Linked DNA regions of Oryzias latipes. The protein of the gene in region 3 purifies or fractionates together with the protein of the main gene of each other region. This does not show direct contact. Links are inferred from orthologs where the notes say so. Each region holds a gene or a part of one and is shown on either strand. Other genes may lie near its edges.

Region 1 (2,940 bases), on a different chromosome or scaffold from region 3:
AATACTCAACGCCTTACCTCTTTCATTTTTACATGGTAGCCTGTGTTCTGCTCTGACATACTGTTTGCTGAGCAGGGCTGTACCAAAACTAGGAGTTAGCCACTTTAACCCTTGTGCTATCTTAGATGAATCCACCCATACATTGACGTGTTCTCCCTACCATGACAAAGGTGGATAAAGGTGGAAAGATTTAATGTCATCCATGGACACCAGTGAGGTTCACAAATCACTGAAGAAAAAAGGTTTAGCGCACTGTCTAGTGGGTCTAGATGACCCACCTCCCAATGTTAAAGTGCCTAGGATAGCACAAGGGTTAAAAACAAGACTCCAAGTTTGAGATTGGATTATTGGGTATTGGATTTCCGCTTTTCAAAATGACGGTCCAGTGTATATCCTGGACAACAAATAAAGCACCACTTTTCTTTTTTTTAATTTGCTAAACTCAAACATGATTTTCAAAGGAGATATTCTGTTACTTCCAAGTCATTCCACTAAAACATGCCCTTTTTTTTCCAAAAAGGGGAACTTAGGCAGGCCCCTGGTGTGAGTGGGTTCATATGGGTGCAGCCTAATGATTCCTGATTTGTTATTGCAGATAAAGAAAAAAAAGAATTGCAGAAATTACAAAGTGATCGATTCCCATTTAATGGAAGAAGTGACAGAATATTTGAAAAAAGGTCGCACTAGAAAATGCAACTTTACCTCAACAGACATCTTAGGTGTTAAACTACCACATAAAGATAAAGATGTACAACAATGTGGGTACAGTACAAAATATAATACAAGATACAAAGGCCGTCACAATGAGGCACAGAGTTTAAGGACACATCCAACACTTGGAAGCACAAAAAGCCTAATTTCTGTTGTCATTTCAGGGACTACGGATGGCTGAAAACCTGACGTTTGTCAGAGTGTGCACTTTAGTAACCAGTAATCCACATTTGAGCACGTTGGGAAAAGGCAAAGGTGGAAAACATTGTACACAGAAAAGCTACCGTTTGGAAATTTAAGCACCTCCTTTAAGAAGCAAAGGCATTGAAGACACCAGTAAGGCCCTCCATTGAAAGTGTTAAATATACTGCTTTGCCAGCCAATGAATAGAATAAACCTAACCTATTCTGCTTACTATTCCATTAAACCAAAACTCTTTTCCTAATGCTGTAACTTTGTTTTCCTTTGCTACATCTTAAAATAGACATCAAAAAGTGTATTATCTGTACAGATACTGGTGCTACTCTCTTAACTGTTCTTCTTTATGGAAGCCATCACTGTTTTATTAAAAAGGAGTTGTTCTTGTTATAATGGAAAACAAAACTTCAAGATGATTGGATTACAATTCCAGGAAAGTTTGCTACAAGAAAAGCAGTTTTGGCAACTTCCAAAAAGTTAGAGCCGATTAATAACGAAAAGTTTCTGGAAGAAAGAGGGCTCTAAAGTATCTGGGTGGGTGTCAAGCCTCAAAATGTGAGCATGAATAGAAATACTGAGAGGTTACTTCGTAATAAATACAGTAGTTATTGTGAGCTGCTTAACTTTGACACAAAAACCCCCAAACATTTTTGTCATATTCTTGAGATTCTTGTGAACACACTAATCGTCTTCTCTTCAGTAAAATTGAATTTGCACCAATATGATATATTTTCTAATGCAAACTGTGCACTTTACAGGTAAAGGGAGGTTTTATAAATGTTCATGTGAACTCATGGGAAAGTGCTGCCTTGAGATTGTACTCTGTCTGGGGTCTTTTCTTTACTGCAGGTTTGCCAGCAAAGTAACAGTCTCCATGGCGCTTCCTTTAGGCAAATGCACACGAGTATCTAAAAAGATGGGCCTTAATAAGAGAAAACACAAGGAAATAAAAAAAAAATGGAGTATAAATACAAAATCCATAACAATTTAAGATCATCAACTCATTCTGTATCTTTTGATTTTTACGGAAGGACAAAACCTACACCTTTATTGCTAACGACAACAGAACCAGGAAGGGTCAGCTGTGGTGCGACGACGCCATCATCGGTCCTCTGATTTGCTGCCACCTCTGCTAAAAGTTTCTGGGGATGTTGCAGGAGGTGGGCAGAGATGGAGCGCTTGGCACAGCAGCTGCAGAGGTGGGACAGCTGATGTCTGTGGGGTACGGGTTCAGGCCCATTTGCTTGTTGTCGAACAGCTTGCGGACGACAATGCGGCAGAAGTCCTCGTCGTGTTTGTGGCAGTTGTCCAGCAGCTGGCGGACTTTGGCGGTGCGCGTCGGCTGGTTGACCACCAGCTCGTAGTCCTCGCGCATCAGCATGGAGCGAGCCAGCAGCGCGTCCAAGCTTTGGTTGAGACAGGCCTCCGTCATCTGGGAGACGATCTGCACGCGCCGCATGGCGATCCAGCTGCTGATGGGGCCTTGTGACAGCGGGGGGGAGTGCGGCAGTGGAGGAGAGCAATCAGCTGAAAGAATGGAGAAAGCAGAGCCATTTGAGACAATCTGATAACCTACATTTGTTGTGCACTAAACTAAAAGAGAACGTCCAATAGTAGCTCCTCCCAGAACATTTGCAAGTCAGACTTGATAACTGAACTCCATCCATTTTCCAAACCTGCCTAATCCTTTTTATGGTAACAGTGTTGCTGGAGCCTATCCCAGACATTTTTGGGTTCATCCAGAACAGTTTACCAGCCTGTTGCAGAGTCACACAACAACAACACGCACACACTCTCACATCCACAAATAGGGACAATTTAGAGTCATCAATGAACCTAAAATGTTACATTTAGCTTCAAAAACAACAAAGACAATCACACATTTTATGTTTACCGTATTTTCCGGACTATAAGTCGCTCCAGAGTATAAGTCGCATCAGCCCAAAAATGCATTATAAAGTAGAAAAAAAAACACAGATAAGTCGCACTGGACTATAAGTCGCATTTTGACGGGAAATTTATTTGACAAAA
Region 2 (3,437 bases), on a different chromosome or scaffold from region 3:
TTTGAAAGATTGGGACCCTGAGGACAATCCTTGGGAAGAACATGCCAAATATTATCCTGGGTAAAAACCTCCAGCTTTGCTTTTTCCCATAAAAGAAGGATTATGTATTCGTATAACCCTTGTGCTATCCTATGGGGTCAAGATGGCCATTGACGTGTTCTCCCTACATGACAAAGGTGGACAAAGGTGGAAAGATTTCATGTAATCCATAGACACCAGTGAAGATCACAAATCATTGAAGAAAAAAGGTTCAGCTCACTGTCTAGTGGGTCTAGATGACCCAACTCCCAACGTTAACGTGCCTAGGATAGCACAAGGGATGTAAGTGTATTTATGTATGTATCTTACATCCTTTTTTTTAAATTCCATTTTAGATGCAGCTTTCTTTTATCAGAAAAAGGCCAAGAGTTTGTTAATACAATTCAGCTACAAGAACCTAAATACTCACAACAGGTAAGGCATATTATTTCCCCTCATTTAAGAAATCTGTTTCTGAAGCTTCTTCACTTCCCTAGTTTTTGTAGAAATTGTTTTTTTTTTTTTAAATAAAACAAAGAAGGTTTATTTTGTATTATGCCTAGCCTATTCTCTGTTAAAGAGTTGGTGGGGGAGTGTGTTTAAAACAAAAGCTGTTAGACGTTTCTCATGAGTTCAGACAAAAGGATTTACAAAAAGTGATGATGTGACCCTTTTGTTTCCAGGCTTCAGAACATCAAAATGGATTTTTTGAAGAGGAGAAAGGTAAATATTCTTGGATATGTATCTAAATCTAAAAATGTACACTATGGTATTAGTTAGCTGAACCTTTTGAGAAGGAGAACCTAAGCCAGGGGTCTGCAACCTTCAGCACTTGTAGAGCCAATCAGGTTAATTTTTCACTTACCGGAACCCAGTAGGAGCCATAAAAAGACACTGATTTGCATTCATGTTATTGTTACTATTATTGTAAATATAAATCAAGTTGTGGATTTTTCACAGAAATAAAACAGTCATAAAGATAAATTTGTTTGAAATAGTGAGAACTTTTAACAGAGGTTTACATGACTTCCTTTCAAGATAAAAGACTCTCTGTACCACATATGATCATCTTAATGTAACAAATGTTGTTGTAGGAATTGGGATGTCAGCAGTGATTAAAAAACAACAACTATACACTGTTTAATTTATTGTTGTTTATACCTCTCAGCCAGAAATTTGTAAAAATCTAACAAGCTAAAATGAAACTAGATTTTTGACCCTATGGCGCACTTGCAATTGTTGAATTTTGTTCAATAATAATCTCTTCTAGTCTCAGCGTGCCTTAAGTATGAATTCTGGTTGTGTTTACTGACCTCCAGCTGAATTGCTGTGGTCAAATCGTTTCAAACGTTAGACGATTTTGTTTTGATTGATGTATCGTATGGTCTAAAGAATGTTACTTTTTAAAATGAAAAACATTTTAGTATTCTTCAATATGAGAGCCACAAAGGAGGGGTCAAAGAGCCACATGTAGCTCCAGAGCTTCAGGTTGCAGAGCCCTGACCTCAGCTCAGTCATTTGTTGGGGTTAAATTAAAAGTCAAAAAACATTATCTTCTGCAATTTTACATTAATTACATACGAACTGGGCTGACAAATAATAGAAAACATTGAATTTTCAAGCATGGTCTAAGCAGTACGGCAGAGTTAAAAAAAAAAAAGAAAAAAAGTAGGATGCCCAGACCATGACCCTGCTGCACCCCCCTGTGGCCTGCTTGGGCTCTTACAGTTAGAGATTGTCACAATTGGGACCGTGGAAAACTAACCCTTTCTTTTTTCAGTTGAGAACCCTCTAGAGGAGCTGGAGAAGCTGCGGCAGGAAAAGCGCTGTAAAATCTGCCTAGACGAGAACGCGTGCATCGTCTTCATCCCATGTGGACATCTGGCCAGCTGCAAGGCGTGTTCCAATAAGCTCAACCAGTGTCCCATCTGCTGTGCAGCTATAGCACAGAAAATCCGGACCTTCATCGCTTAGGAAACCAAAGACTCTTGTCTAACATGGTTGCTGCTATTCTTTCAATGGAGACGTATTTTTTAAGTGGGTGTCTGTGAAGAAATGGCTTTTTGTGAGCATGTAGGTGGAAAAAACAAAGAGTAATACAACTAAAGGTTTGTCTAAACCAGGTTTGCAAGAACTTACATATAACAGCCGTTTTCTTCACAGCAAGAAAACACGAAAATTTGTTTGTTTGTAGTGATGAAACATTCACAAAACATCAATATCTGCATTTCTTCATCCAACTTGAAGATTTTTAGGGTTTAAGTTGTTTTTAAACATAAAAAGTGCTTTTTCTTCAGACTCGGAATAAAAACTATTCCCCGTGCTCCAAGATCTGGAATTCATTCATTGTTTTTTTTACACAAATCTCCACTTAAAAAAAGGAAAATTCCATTAGTGACTATGTAATATAACGCTATATTCATCAAACATGCACTATAATATATGTAAAGATAGTTGATGTTGCAGAATTAGAGATGTATCTGAATAATATTTTTTCAGTAGTTTGGGGGATAAAGGATTATTCTATCCAGGTGATTTTGTTAGAAGCAATAATTTTTTCTTATTATTGTTTAAAATGTAACGTTTTCATTTGTTTTCTGTTTCTATCTATGCATTTATTTAAACTTTAAAGCTTTGAAATTGTCTTATTTTAGTTTTCTGTTCCCAAGCATATATTTAGTTTTTAAACTTTGATTTATTTTCTTTATTTGTCAAAGATATTTTAATGCATAAAGGCAAAATTTTAAAAACACTACTAATAAAGACTCTTCCAGTGTGGTGAGATGTTTCACACGTCACTCATTCAATTGCTTTCATTAACAGTGAATAAATAACTTTTTTGTCTTTATTTACCTTCCATTTTTCCCTAAAACTGTTTTTTTAATTAAAAAAGTTCCTTAACTATGACAATTTTTTTTTTATCTTATGAAATTATTTTCTAATCATCTTAATGAATATTTTGGGGAAGAAACAACAGGTAGAAATCTAAATTTCAATCATTTTTGATTATATAAAAATATTGAATTAATTTTAATTCTAAATTGGGTGGTTTCATCTGAATTTACATTTTTTTTATTGTTTGATTTAACATCACATTTCAATTTTAAACAATTTCAGACACATTTTCAAACAATATTTGTCTTGGATGTTCAAGTTTTTTAATTTGGAATGGAATTTTTTTAGGATTTTTAAATAAAAAATAATTAGAAACTGTCAATTTGGTAATTTAATATTTATTTTAAATGATTTGATTGCATTTTTATATTTTAGCTAAGTCTTGTTTTGTAGTTTGACTTTTATGTATTTTTTTTGTTCTGTAAGACATTACATTTTGTCGGGTGGGCGGCATATTTGGGTAATATTCATAAAAACAGATTATGTTTCTGCCACTGGCAAACGGCTTCTTCCCCCAGGTACAG
Region 3 (3,666 bases):
CCAAACCCGTTCCGGGAGAGAAAAAGAGCATGCATGCGTTGCCTCACTTTGTCTGGCTTATCAAGTGCATCTACGAGATGCAGGACAGCCAGATTGCTAAAGATGCTATGAGTAAGCTGGAGGTGGACCACCTAAAACTGACGTACTGTAATATTGGCCCTGTTGAATGCACTGCCCTCGCCTTTGTGCTCCAGCATTTAAAGAACCCTGTTGGTCTTAATCTGGACAACAACTCTGTGGGTGACGTTGGAGTGGAGCAGCTTCTTCCCTGCTTGCACATTTGTAGCTCCTTGTAGTAAGTAAAATGTATAAATCCCCCTTTTTTCATATTTTCATATTTGTGAGCTTAGAGGTTTGCAACCTGAGGCTGTGGAGCCACACGGGGCATTTTGGCTTTGAAGAAATACGAAACGTATCTGAATAAATAATGGTTATTTTTCAGTTAGTTTTGCAATTACAAGTATAGATTTTATTTACTTTTTATTGGATTCAACACAGATGTTGTCATATTTATATTTGATAGTAAGAGGAGAAAAAAGATGAAGGTGCACAATCATAAAAAAATATAAAATAATATAAAGTGTAATGACTGACTTACATTTTTTTAATGAAGTATATTTTCTGCAGCAAGAGGATTTTGTTTTTACACAGGATGTGACTTATTTTGAAAGGAACTGGGCTGTCGAAAAGGCAAAGTAGTTTAAACTGTTGTATGTAAAAAATTAACAAATACATATTTCTATTATTGTAAATAATTTGAAGTTTCATTTCTAAAAAATGACAACATCCACCATAAACAGTGAGTTTTTCTAAATGGTGAGGTGGGACTTGTCAGCTATTGTTGGTTAGGGTCTTTCAAGGTCAAAGGTTGCAGACCCCTGATATTGCTGGTAAATAAAACAAAGGTTACCTTTTGATGTCATTCAACATAAAAATGAGCATTTTAAAGTTTAACTCTGCATATTTTTTTCTGTTGTCAGCCTCAGAAATAACAACATTACAGATGAAGGTATTCGCAAACTGACTGACAAAGGTGTGCAGTGTGACAGCTTCCAGAAAATAGCGTATGTACTTTCAAACTGATCTCCAAGTCTGCTGTGTTGTCAAGTCTTCTCTTACTGTGACTTTGCGTTTTTCCAGCCTCTTCAACAACAGACTAACTGATGCTTGCACCCAGCACTTCTCCCACCTTCTGAAGACCAAGCAGAATTTCCTTGCTTTAAGGTGAGTTGCTGTTTGGATAGGCTGTGAATGGAGCAGAATAAAAGCTGATGCATCCAAACGTGTATTTTTCAGGCTGGGCAACAATAATATAACAGCCGATGGGGCAAAGCTGCTGGCAGAGGGACTGAAACAGAACGGCTCTCTCATGTATTTAGGGTAAACATTACTGGAAACATGTCTATTTACTGTCTTGCTGACATTTTTTTTTCTATACCAACGCTTTTTTGTTTGCATCAAAAGGCTTTGGGGAAATCGGATTGGTGATGAAGGAGCGGAGGTCATTGCCAATGCCTTAGAAAGCAGCACATCTCTGGTATGGCTCAGGTAATACTTGTATTTAAGATATGTATAAATGACATAACGAACCTGTACAATATGTGCATCATTTAAAAAAAAATGCCCATTGGCTTCATGGTTTATGAAAACTATGGATGCATTGGCAGCCTCGTGGGTAACGGTGTTGGAAGCACAGGGGCGTGTGCTCTCTCCAAGGTCATCAGGAACAGCCCATCACTGGAGGAGCTCTGGTAAATATCAAACACAGCTGCAATGTGAACAACAATTCCAGTTTTGTTGTCAATGCTATAACAATCAAAAACACGATTCTTGTTTGCTACCAAAAGGCTGACGGACAACTGCATAACCAGGACAGGGGTGGAATCTCTCATTGAAGCCTTGGAAAGTAACCCACGAGTGAAGTCAGTATGGTATGTTACAGCAACAGAACTGCACAGAGTTCTGCTGAATTGAATGTGGTCGGTTCTCTGGCGTGCTTCTATCCAATAAACTGTCTTTTAAATTTTCAAACACACTTGTTTGATATGTTTTGAAGACTTGTGTGTCCTTCCTCCTCCAGGTTAAGAGGCAATGAGCTCAGCTCTGAGGACGTTGCAGAATTAAATCAGCGAGAACCAAGGCTTCTTTTTTGATGTAATGTGCCTGTTATTGAAAAAACTACATATTTTTTGCAATGTAACTGCTACTCCTTACTGACGTACAACTGCCGTATGGATGAGCACACTTAAGAACCATGAATGACATTTGCACATCTTCACTTTCTTCCCTTTTTGGCTTAAAGTAACAGATCTCCCAGGCAAAATAAATCAACCTAAAACCTTACGTTTGAAGGAATTTTGTATGAGTTTACTACTAGCAGAGCTAGAACATTTCATAAGGGGTGGGGGGTAATTGTATCCGTTAATTAAAACAGTTTTATTTTTGTTATTATCAATAATAAAAACAGCAGTTCTTTTAGCTGAGGTGCAATTACTAATGAAAAAGCTTGTATTGATGATTTTAAATTTTGCCAATAACGATACTAGTCAAATATTAGAGAGGCAAAGCTTTTTGCCTCACTTTGACTTGTGAGATAAAAAAAGTAAAGTTTTTCTGTTTTTGTTTCTCAGTCCTGTTTACTTGACTTTGAATTGGTTTTTAAATGTAGATCAAACTAACTGCATGGGTTCTTAGGCAAAGATGCAACAACAAAACCTTCCAAATATTTTAGCATGTACCTCAAAAACTGAGCAGCTGCTGTACCTCACACTTTTAAGTTACATGTGTCTGAAGTGGGACTGAATTGGACAGAATTTGTAGCTTTTTTGCTGCCCCCCTGTCATTTAGTTCTCAAAAAATGCAACTCTCAGAAGCTATTTCACTTGGTTTTATTATAATTTCTTGTTGAATAACAGCTAATCTCGATGAAAATGCTGTTGCATTTGTTAAAGTTTTTATTCTATTTTGTTGTTCTCTTTTTTGTTTCCTTATGGCATAAGCTGTTGACTTTTGTGGGAGGTGTTTCTCATGTGGATGTCTTATCTGGTTTAATAAAAGTTAAAGTTAAAAAAATGCCTCTCTGATCTTTGCAAATTAGTACTAGAGCCAAACAAGCATGGGAAATAATCGATTTTCTTGAGTCATGTTTAAAGGATGGAGGTAGGGCTGCATGATGAGGAAAACGTGCGAAATGCGATATTAGTGATTAATATTGCGATGATGATATAACTTGCAGTATATGAACAAATATTTAAACAAGGAAATACATAATTTCCATTTCACTGCAACAGTGAACAAAAATATATTCCAAATGACCCACATAAAAAATCTAACATAAAAGGGCTCCATCCAATTGGTCTATGATATAAAGGAGTCTATTCGATTGGTCAAACACATAAAGGGATTTGTTTTTTTCATTAAATACTACAAACTGCCATAAGATTGTTTTAGCATATTTAAGGTAACCATGCATTGCCATTTTAACCGTCTTTAGCGATATGCATATTGCACAGCTTGATATTGCGATAACAATACATTTGCCATTTATTGTGCAGGCCAACAGAGGTATTTTAATTTAGTTTTGTAATCTACAACTGCCCTTCTTTAAAGAATAAAAGAGACCAGCCGTATTATTGATGGGAGAAAAAGCAAAACAAAGAGCTGGTT

Evidence for each region. The genes of interacting proteins can lie anywhere in the genome.
Region 1: the proteins of nod2 (region 3) and ripk2 purify together in Homo sapiens (affinity purification with western blotting; 12 studies listed by BioGRID and IntAct, with this or other methods). This does not show direct contact. The link is inferred for Oryzias latipes from reciprocal best matches to the Homo sapiens genes NOD2 and RIPK2.
Region 2: the proteins of nod2 (region 3) and E3 ubiquitin-protein ligase XIAP purify together in Homo sapiens (affinity purification with western blotting; 3 studies listed by BioGRID and IntAct, with this or other methods). This does not show direct contact. The link is inferred for Oryzias latipes from reciprocal best matches to the Homo sapiens genes NOD2 and XIAP.

The regions. Positions count from the first base shown.
Region 1 is NC_019875.2:13,792,919-13,795,858, reverse strand, and holds the end of ripk2 (receptor-interacting serine/threonine-protein kinase 2), read right to left. Parts: intron 2,437-2,940; coding exon 2,042-2,436; 3' UTR 622-2,041; downstream 1-621.
Region 2 is NC_019868.2:22,026,934-22,030,370, forward strand, and holds the end of E3 ubiquitin-protein ligase XIAP, read left to right. Parts: coding exon 1-60; intron 61-374; coding exon 375-453; intron 454-701; coding exon 702-741; intron 742-1,798; coding exon 1,799-1,992; 3' UTR 1,993-2,816; downstream 2,817-3,437.
Region 3 is NC_019861.2:30,230,953-30,234,618, reverse strand, and holds the end of nod2 (nucleotide-binding oligomerization domain-containing protein 2), read left to right. Parts: coding exon 1-295; intron 296-980; coding exon 981-1,064; intron 1,065-1,140; coding exon 1,141-1,224; intron 1,225-1,296; coding exon 1,297-1,380; intron 1,381-1,464; coding exon 1,465-1,548; intron 1,549-1,667; coding exon 1,668-1,751; intron 1,752-1,847; coding exon 1,848-1,931; intron 1,932-2,080; coding exon 2,081-2,153; 3' UTR 2,154-3,072; downstream 3,073-3,666. UniProt on the Homo sapiens protein: Pattern recognition receptor (PRR) that detects bacterial peptidoglycan fragments and other danger signals and plays an important role in gastrointestinal immunity.